Rhinolophus ferrumequinum: one gene and its partner. The protein of the gene in region 1 purifies or fractionates together with the protein of each later gene. This does not show direct contact. Links are inferred from orthologs where the notes say so. Each region holds a gene or a part of one and is shown on either strand. Other genes may lie near its edges.

Region 1 (7,148 bases):
ATTTCTCTGATCCACTTACAGCAAAACCCCTAAAAGAACTTTTTATCAGTAGTCTCCCAACCTTTCTCCTGTCAGCTTCTCTTGAGCTATCCAAAAAGGCTTTTGCCTCTGACACTACTGAAACCACTCTATCAAGATTATGAATAACCTCAAAGTGCTAAATACAATTTTTAACTTTTAGTCTTCATCTCACTTGACCTATCAGCAGCACCTGATGTCCGTAAAACATTTTTGAAATACTTTCCTTACTTGGTCTATAAGACACTACACTCTTCTGGGTTTTCTTCTTACCTTACTAGATGTTCTTTTCAATCTCCTATGCTGGTTCTTCCATAGCTCCACAATTTCTACACACTAGAGCACCCAAGGCTCAGTCCTTGCACCTCCTCTCTTTTCTATCTACACAAACTTTCTTAATGTTCTCATATAGTTTCATGACTCCTCTAGAATGTAGCTTCAACAGGTAGGGGTTTTTGTTTTGTTTTGTTTTTTAGCTATTTTGTTTATGCTGAATCCCCTGCACCTAAAACAGTGCCTGCCATGCATTGGGTGTATGACAAATATATGGATGAATAGCTTTAAATATTATCTACAAATTGATGACTCACCGATTTATACCTCCTGCCTGGATCTCTGCCCTGAACTCCAACAACCGATTTGCTATCTCCACTAGGATGTGTAATAAACATCTCAAACTTAACCAAGTTCAAAAGAGAACTCCACTACCCTCCCCCAATGATTTCTCTGACTGACGTCACGTTCTTAGCAAAGTGCAGCTCCATCCTTCTAGTTCCTTAAGCCAAAAATTCTGAAATCATTCCTAATTCCTCTCTTTCTCTCACACCACATGTCCAATCTGCCAACAAATACTGTGGATTCTGTCTTCAAAATATATTCAGCACTTTTTGGCTACTTCTCACTAAGTCCACCACCAACCATCACTATGTCCAAGCCATTACTACTTCCCACCTGGGTGAATGCCACAGCCTCCTAACTGGTCTTCCTGCCTCTTATCCTCCTGCACCCCTCCAATTCAGTCTGTTCTCACAGCCAGAGAAATTTTTTTCAAACTTAAGTCAGAGCATGTCACATCTCTGCTCATAATCCTGCAATTATTCCCACTTTGCTCTGAGTACAAGCCCAAATCTTAATAATTGCCTAGAATGCTCTACTCAATCTAGCCCTATTTCATCTCTGACCTCATCTACTTCTTTTCCTCCACTTCTGCTCCTCATATTCGTTTCTCCTGCTGTTTCTTCCAAAGGTGAAGCACATTTCCACCTCAGGGCCCTTTCTCTTATGCTCCTGCTGCCTGGAATGCTTTTCCCCTAGACATCCACAATCCGTATTTGCTTCATCACCTTGTTCAACTGCCACTTCTCTCTGAGTTTTTCCCAATCACCACACTTAAAATTACAACTCTAATCCCAACTCCTTGTATTCTTCCCCTTTCTGTTTCGTATTTCTTCATCCCCCTTCTGCTTCGTATTTCTCCATAGCATTTATCACCACCAAATACTGCATATCTTACTTTCTAGGACACCTGCTTACAAAGGACACGAATCGTAGTCGGTTTTATTCACTGCTAGTATATCCCCTGGAGTTTAAAGCAACGCCTGGTATGCAGTAGAATGCTATCATTTCCACCAGGGGGCCTAACAATCAACTAGCCTGGTATTTCAGGAAAAAAACATCAAGCTTCTCTACTATTTCTTCCACTACTCTGATCCCTAGAAGGATTATACTTTGCCTAGAAAGAAAAACGGTGCTTTGTCCAGTCAACCACAAGGAGGAGTTGAGAGGCAGAGCTGAGCAAAGAGAAACCAGATGTTTCCCTTGCTTTTCCTCCCGCAACCTCAAGGTGGAAGAAAACGGGATTGGGAGGCGACGGTACTGAATGAATGATGTTCTCCATACTACGATTTACCGAGACCCACACACACATACACATTAAAAAACACAATCCTTTCCGATGCCACAAGGAGGCCAAAGAAATCAACCCACGGGCCCCTGAAAAAGAGGAGGGTGTTTCTTTAACTCCACCGCGAAGAACTCCCCACAAATCCGGGAAGAGAGTTCCCATTAACGCAGACACGACATTCACGGCGGAGGCCAAGGCGTTCCCGGTGGCCAGCACTCCCTCGCCAGCGAACTATTAAACCCATTCTATTTCATACTTAAAGCGTCTACAACGTTGAAAACGGCACAAGCAAGGCGGTCCCAGGTTTAAGTTCTCCGACTGGGCCGATCGCGTGTCAAGTCCCGATTCCTGAAACACCGAAATCAATTTCCCCCGGGATTCTGACTCACCGCCACCTGTTGATGCCCACATTGGAGGAGCCGGCGAACCAGGGGTCGAGGATGTAGACGCAGCGGATGGTGTCGGCACCCTGAATGCACTCCTTCAGGGCGGGGTTGTCGTGAAGCCGGAGCCCCTTTCGGAACCAGTGCACGGCGTTCACCCCCATCCCGGCGGCGCGGCGGGCGGCGGGTCCCCGCCGAGTTCCTCCACGGAGAGAATCAAGGAACGAGGGTCCGGCTCATACCCGACACCTCGGCTTCCAGGAGAATCGCCGCACCCAAGGAGTAAGAACAGGGCGGCCGACGGGGGGAGAGGAAAAAAATGAGTCCGGGGAAGGGACCAGAGAGTGAGAGGGCGCTGGAGGCGCAGCTGGAAGATGAATGGAGGTTAGGTTGCCCAGTCAGCGGAGTCCGGGTGTGACGCCCTTTAGGAGCCGGCGCCCGTCGCAACGGCCTGGACGAGTCGCATAACTTCCAGGGCCTCGGACCCCCAGAGGGTGAGCAAGTTCCAAGGGCTCAAGCCTCCTCCACAACCCGAGCCGGCACCCGCAGCCCCGGGAGGTTCGTCACGGAAACCTCACCTCCCCGAGGCGGCTCCTGAGAAGAAAGCGGCCCGCCCGAGGCAAGCCACCGAGAGGGATGAGCGAAGACTCAGCCCCCGTGGGCCACGCTGCCTCTCCGCCCAGAGACGCGAGTGAGGACGGAGCGCGAAGCACGGAGGCGGTGGTCCAGGCCGCTGGACGGTTGCCCGCCGGTGACGGGTCCCGAGGCGGCCCGGGTGACTCCGCCGACACCACCGCGTCAGAGGCCCCGGCCCCGCCCCCGGCTCCTCATTGGAGGGCGCGCTGGCCACGTGACCACCGGCACATCACGTTTCTGAAATGTGTTTACTACAGCGGCTCTGACTAAGGAATGTGCTCGCGCTTCAGTTGCTTCTAGGGGCCGACAGCCTTTGGGTCTCAAAACCGTCGATCCTCGCCCAGCCACTGGGCTCTCGGTCTCTGCCCCTTTTCTCGGCGGACTGATCGCGGCTGCCTGGATGCCCCCGCGGCGATCACAGGCCCCACGTGAAGGAAGGCTTAGCTCCACCTTTGGGGGCCGCGAGCGTCCACCATTGGCTGAGGCTTGCTGAGACCCGGATGAGCACGGGGATGCGGGGAGCTCGCGGGCGCGCGCTTGGCTCTGGAAGGGGCGCGTGCGCTCTTGCTGCGTTCCAGGGGTCAGTAGGGCGGGGCAGGCGAGCGGGAGCGCGCTCAGGGATTCCGCTGTGGGTCCCCGGAAGGCCTGAAGACGCACTGGTACCCATCCAGAGTCAGCGATGGCTCCCCGCGGGGAATGAGGGCACGGTAGAGTGGGAGAAGGAGAGTTGGAGGATCCACGTCGACTTTGATCCCAAATCATCTGCTTCAGTCGAGCTTTGTGCAGAGAACCCTACTTTGGCATGTGTGGAGCTGGCGCCCTTACCAGTCTTCTGGACCTCCACGCTGTACCCTTGGACTTGGTCTGGGGAAGAGGAGTAATTGGCAGGGCGAGTGCCAAGCACTCCTAGACTGATTGTATTTTTTTAATACTAGAGCTGTAACATCAGTATGTCAGCCCTAGTCTCTTACATTTAGTGTGGTTTACAGGGCTCTTTGCCCACCTTTCCAACGACAGTGAACTGCAAGCCATTCCTTATTCGTATGATGCCCTTATATTCATTCAACAACCAGGCACTCTTCAAAGTGCTGTAGATACAGGAGAGAAGAAAATAGGCTAAAATCCCACCCCTCTGTAGAGTGTACAAGCTGTATGTCAACCTTTACATGTGCTATCTTTTCCTCTATAAAATGCTTTTCTTTGGAATCTGCTGCTCCCTACAACCACCTTTACCCTACCTAGTATATTTCTGCACATTCCTTTAGACTCAGATGAAATGCTACCTAATTTCTGAAAACAATCCTTTCCCCAGAGCGGATTAGGACCTCACCAAATCCCTCAGGCCTGTCTCTGATACATCACTTATTGTAAAGATTGAATGAAAAGTGCCTATTTGAACACCAAGTACGAAGTAGGTGCTCAATAATTGTACTTATTATCATGTGTCTCTGCTTCCCTCTGAAGTGTGACTTCTCAAAGACAGGCTCCATCCATTTCTCTTTTTTTTTTGCGTTATCAATACCCAGTACAGAACCTGACATATATGCATTCAAATGTTCATTGAATGAATGAATTAATGAATGCTGCTTGCCACCTGTGTGTTTGGCAAGGTTAAAAGGAGAAAAGATATGGCAATTGCTACTGGTTGAATTGTGTCCCTCTACAATTTACATAACCCCTGTGAATGTGATCTTATTTGGATATAAGGTCAAGTTAAGATTAGGTCATTAGTATGGGCTCTAGTCTAATATGACTGATGTCCTATAAAAAGGGGAAATTTAGACACAGACCCACACATAAGGAGGTTGCTATGTGAAGATTGGAGTTATGCTGCCACACACAAGGAACTATGTACTCGAAGCTCAGAGAGCAGCCTGGAACAAATCCTTCCCTAGAGCCATTAGCAGGAGTACAGCCCTGCCAACACTTTGATGTCAGACTTCTGGTCTCCAGAACTGCGAGACAATAAATGCCTGCTGCTTTAAGCCACTCATTTTGTGTTGTGTTACAGCAGCACTAGCAAACTAGTAACAGTAATAGAGATTCAATTATCTAGTGAGCCAATATATCTGGATAGTATTCCCCATCCTTGCCTCTGTTGCATATAGCATCCTTTCTTTGGTTTCTTAAAAACAGTTAAATTGTTATATGTGAAAACCCTTTGTTCACTATAAAGTATTAAACAAATAGTTATTTTTATCAATGGGGATGATTCTTGGGTAATTACCACTCTGAGGGATCCATCACCTACGCAGAGGATGTGGCGTATAGAGCTGTGCCCTCTCCTGGATTGCCTCATACTCCAGGGCCTGTTGTACTTTTAAAAATACAATTTCATGTTTCATTTCAGACAGTTTGAAAGTAAGCAGATTGTGTCTAAAGACATAAGAATTGTTTTCAAGCATCCAAATGAAACAGTGGGCGGTAGAGAAAGAATATTGATTTGTGTAGAGTTGACTTATGTTTGCCGATTGTTCATTTAATAAAGATGGATTTTTTTTAACAGACAGCTGTAGGTGGGTGTATGTGTAATTTTCATTTACACATAAAAGTACTAATTTATTATAAAAGTGTCAGTATTGTCAACTCCATTCCACAAAAACGAGGATATTTATGGCATGAAAACAGTTACTTTAATATATCTGTTATTGGGGGGAGTAACCACTTAATAATAGTTATGGCTTATTGAGCACCTACTGTGTGCCAGGCACTTTATATAGGTTATTATTACCCTCACAATAATATTTTGAGGCAGCTCATTATTATTTAATAATAATTTATACCTATGTCGCTGAAGACACTAAAGCTCAGAAATACAAACAAGTAATAAAACTAGATTAAAAACCAAGACTGTTTCTTTTTTTGTTTTTCTTTTTTAATTAATTTATTTATTTATTTATTCATTTTTAATTGGGAATATTTTGGGAACAGTGTGTTTTTCCAGGACTCATCAGCTCCAAGTCAAGTCATTGTTTTCAATCTAGTTGTGGAGGGCGCAGCTCAATGGTTCATGTGGGAATCGAACTGGGGATGTCGGTGTTATGAGCACTGCGCTCTAACCGACTGAGCAAACCGGCTGCCCCCCACGACTATTTCTGAATCCAAGCTCTTTCTTTATGATATACTACCCTCATTGACACCACCACTCCCCTTCATTTTCAGAATGAGTATTTGTATTTAAAAGGGGAAAGAGAGATGGGGAGCATTTCAGGAATCTTGTGGAATTCTGCTGGGCTCCAACATCATGGCGGTAGAAAGAGAATAGGACTGGGTTCTATTTCAGCTCACCATTAATTAGTTGACTCCAACAAGTCACTTAGACTTTCTTGATCTGATTAATTCATCTATAAAATGAAGAGATTGAAGTAGATGACTTTTAAGTTTTCTATGCTATTTTAAAATTCTAGGATTCTGTCAACACAACCCTGCCATGGGCTCAAAAATATCTAAGAGTTCTGTTAAACATTTTTTAACTGCCACCAATGTTAGAAAAATCGATATCTCTTTGATTTCATAAGCACCCTTGATAAAAGTATGTCAGCCTCTAAACTGAAAGCCTGTGTTCTCTCTTGACCCCATCTTACAGAGGTGATTTTTTTGGCATGCGTTATCAGCACACAAATAATGAAGGAGTAGACAGTGTGATCAGCTCATTCAGTCTTGATGTGATGTGAATGTTAGTGATGTAGAATATTTTCTTTGTGCCGGGATCGTGTCTCATGAAACCGAAGAATGGAAGCACGGACCAAGGAGAGGTGAGGAGTTGTGAAAAAGGATAGTTTATTAAAAGTAAAGAGTAAAGAGTTGCAGCTCTCAGAACGAGAGGGGGTCCCGACCAGGGTGCTCAGTGACTAAAGCAAAAGCTCTTACTTTTATACCTTCCCGTGCCAGTTTGGAGAAGGGAGCTGGGGCCTTATAATGGAATTCATCTATCAGGTTTGTCCTGTTTGCCCACCCTAAAGGGATTAATGAACCCATTCCTATGTATCAGATTTGTTCCTTTTGTCCAGCCAAAAGGAATTTATGAGATAATTTATTAACCTCAAGGCGCATTCTTATATCTGTGTCCTGGAGTGAAGGATATGGCTGCCTTTTGTTTATTCCACCAGGGACCTTCCTGTCTACCTAACAACATGCTAGCTAATCTGTCTCATTAGGCTGGTAGCCCTTGGCTGAGGGATTCCCAACACTAGAGTTGTTGGGGGATT
Region 2 (7,823 bases), on another chromosome or scaffold:
AATTCATTTAATAAACATTTGAGCACCTGTCCTATATCCACACGTGACAGTACAGGCTCAGAAAGTGGGAACTATATACCCAGTTGCTCAGTAACCACGACTTACACACAGAAGGGACTTGACGAATGAACTCTATGAGTTAGCGCGTAAATATGTGCAGTGCACTGTCAGGTGCTCGGGATGTGACCCTCACAGAACACAAAGACAGAAATGTAAAGAATATGAAGTTAAGAACTATAGTCAACGTTTCCCAATAATAAAAGATACCATTTGTTGAGGCTGACGGTGGCCCACACTGTGCTGATGCATCGGTGTGGCCGGCAGAATAGCGGGCCTCAAACACACCCATGTCCTAATCCCAGGAGATGTATGTTGCCTTACATGCCAAACAGGACTTCGCTGATGTGATCGAGGGTGCAGACCTTGAGACGGGGAGATTTTCCTGCATTAACACAATAACCTCAATGTAATCACAAGGGTCCTAATATGGAAAAGTACGCAAAGTCAAACACCTTGTGTTTAGCCCACATTGGACTTTGGACCTTCAGAACTGTACAATACGAAATCTGTGTGGTTTTAGGCCACCGAGTCTGTGATGATTTGTTACAGTAGCAACAGGAAACAAATACAATGGGCTTCACATGCATTATCACATTTTCATCTTCTATAAACCTATGAACTATTATTTTCCTTCTGCAGATGAAGCAACTGAATTTCACAGAGGTTAAATAACTAGCCCAAGGTTTTGCAGAGAGTAAAAAAGACAAGAAGTTTAAAATATCTCAAAAATTGTTTTAATTACTTACATAGTGAAATGATATTTTGGATATATTGAGTATATATTTAAATTAAATATTAAAATTAATTTCACCTATTTGTTGCTTCTTTAAAAAACTGACTTCTAGAACATTTTAAATAATGTCTGTGGCTTGCATATAATTCTAATGAATAGTGCTGGCCTAGAATCTCATTCTCAAAGGTTTGGAATTTATCACCCATCTTTGGACTTTTTTGAGCAAGAGACATGTGCTTTAGGGAACATAATGCAGGAAGCAGGTTAGAAGGTGGCTTGAAAAACACTGTCCCTGGTTTGCTGACCAGCTGGAAAGTTTTAAGTGTGGTCTTGGGAAGAGTTGATAAAGATTCACATCAGTCTCAAAACACACTTCTCTCCTTTGAGGAGTTTACAGTCTAATCCCAGGTAGGGTTAAAATCCAGAGAAATGGCACGAAATGAAATGGTTTGGGTAGGCTAATTTGCGAAAGAGGGAGGTATATGCTGGAATAACTAACGGGAGATGTGGGCTTGCTGAGGCAAGACGCCAAGTTGGAGTGAGTGTTCTCACTGGTGGAGCTAGAGCCAATAGTAATAACAACAGTAACGTAGCTAGCATTTACTATGCCTGTGCCTGTGCTTTATATGTGTTAACTCATTTAATGCTCAGGACAACTCTCTGTGGTAGACTTGTTATTATCATTCCCATTTGGCAGATGAGGAAACTGAAGCACAAAGAAGTTAAGTGGTAACTTGTCCAAGCTCGCATATCCAGTAAAGGCAGAACTAGGATCAAAACCCCAGCTACGGCCCAACCCACATCTCCATTCCGATCTGGAGCAGTTTTGACTAAGCAGTGGAGACGGGGCTCTCAAGTTTGCAAGATCCAAGAAGGGAATGGAGGAGACAAGAACTTCTCCTCCTGTTGGGAAACACCACACAGGGGGGAACTGAGAGAAGAGAGCTTCAGAAAAAAGGAGAGGAATTGGGGAGAGAGAAAGCAAAAGAGTGGGAAAGGACATTCTAATCTCAAAGACCCTCCATTTCTATGAATCAAAGGAATAACTAAGGCAGAATTAAAAGCTCTGTTCCTCCCCCACTCAACTGCGCTTCAGAGATCTACCTGCCCCTCAGGAAAGAATTTCATACCTCTTTCTTATAGTAAGGCCAGTGGTTGGTCATGTCAATTTGGAGGCAGGAAATCCATCAAAAAGGGGCAGGTGTAAGCCCATTTTCCTGGGGCTCCATCCAAGACCAGCCAGCCCCAGGGACCATCACCCCTATGTTACTAGGCAGAAGTGTCCTTGGTGAATGGCAGCTATGGAGAAGATGCCACACCCAACTCACTCCCAGAAACAGGACACGGTGACACCAAATTGCATGACTGCCTTTCAGTTAGAAGGAAAAGTCATTTGACACCCAAGGAAGAACCTTTCCAGATCAAGTTTGCACTGGTAAGGAGTTTTGGTAGCAAGCAAAAGAAAACAAATTCAAAATAACGTTAGCCAGTAAGAAAAAAACGAAATCACTGTGATACCTCCAGGCCTTGGAAACAGAGTTAGAACCAGGGCTGGAGACTCTGGCTCCCTGGCTCCCTCTAGGTCCTCTTGCATCTCTTTTGCTTTTCCTTTTTCTCACCACAGAGCACCTTTTTCTGATTTCCAGACCAAGTGGTAGGAAATGACCATCTATAGTTCCTAGGGTTGTTTGTTATAAGTCCAAGCATCCAAGGAAGGGATTAATAAAGCTGACTAATAAAGCTGGTTTTCTTTTTTCTTTTTTTTTAATCACATGCAGTGACAATTCTAAACAGGGTCAGTAATAAAATATTCTTCTCTGTTGGACCCAACTACTCCGCTGCCACCCTTCCTCTTCACCACAACTGATAAATGTAAATAAGTATTGACTGATTCAAAAATAAATACGTCTCTTTTAAAAAAATAAAAAATAAAACATTTTCATAATAATAGGGATGAAGAGGGAGAATTTGACAGGTAAATTGAACCAAGATCCTTCAGGGAGAAGATAGCCTGTAATGAGGAATTTAAAAAGGAGTACAATTGGAGTGTGACAGTCTGAATGTGGTAATAATATATACTCATTATGTTTGCTGATTTAATGTGGTTTGCTGATCATTTATAATGTTGACCTAGCTTTAAATAAATGGGCCTGTATCTGTTTTTCTTCCTCTAGTAATTACCATTACCTGTCTAAAAACCTGCTTCATCATTCAGTCACTCAGGGACCTAAAAAAATGTTGCAGTTCAGGTACAACCACAATATGTTATTAGAGACTTTGTTCAGTTTGACTTGATGATTCAACTGTCAGGTCCTAACAGAAAACACTGGCGTTTTTCCAAGTGAGTCCAAATATAATTTTACACATGGCTTCCTAGCTCAATTTGGGGGTTTGGAGGGGTGTGACCTGGAAGAGTGCAGCATCACTCCCTTCCAGTCTCCTACACATGGGTCAAATCCTTGAAAAGCCATCTTTGGATGGAAAATTACTTTCTTTTTATTTTTGAGGCAGGCAGGAGGAGTGGTGTATGACTCAAGTTATGATTTTGCACCTAAGGACAATCTAACTTTTTAAGAAAACCCACAATCCAAAAATCCAAACGTTTAAAACAAGTTAACTAGGTATCAGGAACAAAGATACGTCGATTTACAAAAGGGTTCAGCAGAGGTTTTAAATAACTATTCCCTTACATTTTCCTTATTGTGTTTCAGAAAGCTATTTACAGACTTCAGGAGTCTATTTTATAAAGGAGGTTTTTAAAAAGCATTAACTCTGATGATAAAAATCGTTTTTAGAAAAATTGAAAAATATATTTTGAATATAAAAATCATCTATACTCCCAGCGTCAACACTGTCACCATGCTGGTATACATCCTTGCAGTTTGTAAAAACACCTTATGTAGACCGGTGTATGAAGTGTGCATAGTTTCAGAGCTTGTATTTTAACCTCTCGGGCTCCGCGGCGCAGGAGTGGCCGTCCGAGGCCGCGCCCGGCCGCGGAGGGGTGTCAGGGGCTCACAGCTCCTGTTTATCCTCCTGCCCCACGACCGGCAGCTGGGCTCCTGCAGGCTCCAGACACTCCCTCCTTTCCTCATTCTGCGCCACCTCCTTCAACTTCCTAGTTCCAACCACAGATAGTCTCTTAGACATCTCCTTAGCTCCAGCCCTCCCACTCTGGCACCAAAACCAAAAATCTCCTAAAAGCAGCAGTCACGTGGAACCTGGAGGCGGAAGCCCCCCAGCTGCGCCGGGCAGTGCGCGCTCCTGCGTGGGCGCGGCCCACTCGCGCCCGCCGCGCGTGCGCGCGCGCCACTGCGGACACGCGCCCCCTTCGGGCGGAGACGCGCCAGGGAAAGCGCGCGGCCGCGAGCCCCGGGCGCCATTTTGGAGTCGGTGTCCGGGCCGAGGTGCCGAGGGTCTCCGCGGCGGCGGGAGCTCGCTGAGTTTTTCACCGCGACGAGTGGTCTCGGGGGCAGGACGCGGACGGCGCGGGACTGGGAAGGAAGGCTTCTCTCTGGGCAGCCAGAGCCGCAAAGGTGGATCCGCATTGGTGCCCTCCGCGGGACCAGCGTCTCGGATGCGGGCGGAGCGCGGGGGGCCGCGGCGGCGGGAACCCGAAGCGCGGGGCCCGGGGGGCCTCATGTGAGAGCCGCGGAGCCAGCCGCCGCCATCCCCGGAGCCCGGGGTGGTGTGTGGGGGAAGCCGCCGCCGGCAGCAGGTAACGGCGGAGGGTTAGTGCCGGAGCCCCGCTGTGACGGCGGGACTGGGGAGGGTCGGCCGACATTGGTGGACTGCAGGGGGGGCCCGGGGGCGCGCGGTTCCGGGCGCGCGTGGGCCGCCCCTCGCGAGCGCGGGGCGGGGCGGGGCGCCGCGCTCAGACCTTGGAGCCTGCTTGGGGGCGTTTCCCCGCTCGCCCGCTTCTAAACATGTCAACAAGGCGTGGTGCGTGCGCGGCGGCGCGTGCAGCCTCCCCGCGGCCCCGCTGCGCCGCGGCTGTAGCCTGGCATTCTTCTTCTTGGCAGGGGTTGATGACAGGCACCTTTGAGCTCGCGCTGGGTCGGGGCCACGCCCGTGCCTAATCGCTGGAGAAATGAGGGGCATTAAATGTCAAAACAGACGGTCCAGGTAGGGCGCGCGAGATAAGTCAGGGAGGTGGCGCAGGGAGGAGGACATGCCCGGGGCGCGCGGCCAAGTGGAAAACTTGGTCAACTTGTGATGAGCAGCTGCTTCAGGTGGCGCTGCAGACAGGGATCAGGCAACAGCCTATCAGATGATGGGCCTGCATCTCTGAGCTAAGAAGTGAGATTACTACTGTATGTGTTATCTTGTTGCTGATGATACCCAGTGGCCCAGATATTTTAATTAGGCTTTTATTTTCTATCGTTCCTGAAATATTTATAAAAATGCCATTGACTGCCAGTTATCTACAAATGACCACTAGACAGATTTTCACCAGTGCATTTTCCCTACCTTCTAGTTCTGAGAGTTAATCTCTTTCCGTGGCTTTATTTTTGTATGCCAGCCAAAGAATGCGTGTTAATTTTGGTATTAGTCAAAGCAGAACATAAATGGAAAGGAAATACGAGGCCAAAGCAGGCTTTTGAGAGCTAAGTATAAATGGGCTTTTAAAATTACCACAAGCCCAGTGTACTAAGAGTGCCTGATACAGTGAGGGACGCACGGCTAAGTGGTCTCTTGTGCCCTTCATCTGACACAAGTGTGACTGCTCCTTTCAGAGTATGTGGAAATAATGAGTTAGTTCAGTAACTCCCTGCGCTGCTCAATGAATCTGCAGTTTTTCCTCATTAGTTTCATAGTGGTTATATCAGTCCCTCACCAAATGCTCTGCTGGCCCAAGTTGCATCAATTATTTAGAGCCCGGAAAAGTTGCATTTTGAAATTGAATTGCTGGAGCCCTGAGGAGGCCTGCCTGGTTTTGATGCTCTACAAAGTCACTTTGACATTGATTGTCCAGCTTCCTTTTCTTTCAGTCCTGTTAAAATATAATAGATGTGTCATTTTGATGAAAAGGCGGAGATAATCCATTGATGTAAATTCTTGGCAGACTGGTGGGTGCTTTGAATTGTTTAACTTTCTCTACAGAAGGACTTCATGTATAAATAGATTTAATAAAATACTTTTGAAAGCCATGTAAATTTTTGCATGGATAAATGAGATCATCTTGGAAAAATTGACATTTATAATTTTTATTAGATGCCCACTGGGTGATCTCTTTTTTCATGCACAAATGAGGATAATACAGAGACCATTTTTATTGGTATTTGGGCTTAGAGTTTTTTCTATTGCTTAATGGACTAGAATCCTGAAAAATTATAATCATATCATATACATGGTAATTTACACACTTTGTTCTGCTATTTATAAAGTAGTAAGTGCCTAAAATACACTTTGGTGATCACATAATCTTATATCTAGATGAAGTGTTGCATACTTCTTTTTAATATGTCAACTTTTTTCTCCCCTCAACTTGGAAAGGTACTGAAATATACTTTATTTAAAACAGGGTGGTAATAGATAAAAGAAAGTATCTATTAGGATCAGCAAAGTATTAGTAAAGATAATTGTGTAAATAAGACTGTCATTTTATTTTCATTTATATGTCCATATATTCTAAAGTAAGATGAATCATCTCATCTTTAAGTTGGATAGTTCTGGGTTTAGACGACTTCTCCAGAAAGAGGAGATCAGCATTCTGTAATGAGGAGTAGAAGTTATAAAGATGGCTTCATTCTTTTTTCCAATCTCTGTTATCTCAAAATTCTGAAGAGGTTTAGATATTCAGAAGAGAAATTATAAGCCCGAGGTAGCAAACTCTTTGTTCTTTGACCCAAATTTTGTACGCTAAAATTAAAGTAAGCCTTCAGAATAAGTGAAAGAAAAACAGGTCATAATGACAGTGTTATTTCAACCTCTAGTTGGACATTATTACTGTGAGAGGTATTTTTAAATTAAGATTACATTGTAGATTATACTACTCGTTTCTAAACGTATATTTAGAAAAGCGTTCTTAGATTCACACGTAAATTTTAGTCTTCCGTGAAACTACCCTCTTGCCACCACCTCTCATTGTTTTCTCCCTTTCTTTCCCCCTGCTATTTCAATAGGATATACACCATTTACTTCACTTAAGTAGAGCAATGAGGAAAAGGCAGTTTATTGCACATGTGCTAAGACCTCCTGAGCTGATTTTAATGGCATGAAGAGCAGGGGTCTCTGCCATTGTTTCCCTCCAGCCCCCAATCCTTTTTCACAAATTTTGCTAGCTACTAGGTACAGAATCTGCAAAGACTTATTCATACATACGCACATCCATTGTCCCACACTGGAATCAGAAATTCTTGTCTGCTGATGTGCCAGAAGAAGAGAGTTGGAGCCACAAGCTATCCTTTTCAAAAGCTACTATGACTCCAAATCCAAACCACCACCTTGCTAGAACTGCTCTCTAGAGACAAAAGTATTGCAGGCTCTAAACTAAATAGAGGTACTACTTAGTGGTCCCCACTTAGTTTAGAGCCTGCGATACTTATTTTTCTAAGTAACAAGCCAAAACAATTTTATCTGATTTACCTTTTTACCTGATTACAACGTTAATTCATTGACATTAAAAGAAATACATAAAATATAGAGAGTCATATTGGCAAAAAAAAAAATTTACCTGTAATCGCACTATTAATATAGTATGATCCAATTAACTGTTATAGTTACTATAATTAATGTGGTGAATTTACTTCCAATGTGTATTTCTCATATGTAAACTTCTTCTATTCTTGCCCTCTCTCACACACACTTCATTTTAAAACAGAAATAGGATCATTTTCCCTACTTTTACTGTGTTGTGCACTTTAATGTCTTTAATACTGGACTGCTTTCCTATACCTGAGTTGGACTGCATTACTGTACCTGAGTTCAACAGTCACCTATCTCGTTTCAGAAGCCCTAGTGCTTTTTACTAAATTCCTTCAAGAACTCTGTGTGTTATTTTCATTTTATAAACTGAAACACAGAAAGG

The links. The genes of interacting proteins can lie anywhere in the genome.
Region 2: the proteins of CRY1 (region 1) and FBXL3 purify together in Homo sapiens (affinity purification with mass spectrometry; 4 studies listed by BioGRID and IntAct, counting the BioPlex papers as one, with this or other methods). This does not show direct contact. The link is inferred for Rhinolophus ferrumequinum from reciprocal best matches to the Homo sapiens genes CRY1 and FBXL3.

What each region holds. Positions count from the first base shown.
Region 1 is NC_046293.1:13,616,989-13,624,136, reverse strand, and holds the start of CRY1 (cryptochrome-1), read right to left. Parts: upstream 3,087-7,148; 5' UTR 2,469-3,086; coding exon 2,311-2,468; intron 1-2,310.
Region 2 is NC_046287.1:27,890,910-27,898,732, reverse strand, and holds the start of FBXL3 (F-box/LRR-repeat protein 3), read left to right. Parts: upstream 1-4,815; 5' UTR 4,816-4,883; coding exon 4,884-4,918; intron 4,919-7,823. UniProt on the Homo sapiens protein: Substrate-recognition component of the SCF(FBXL3) E3 ubiquitin ligase complex involved in circadian rhythm function. Plays a key role in the maintenance of both the speed and the robustness of the circadian clock oscillation.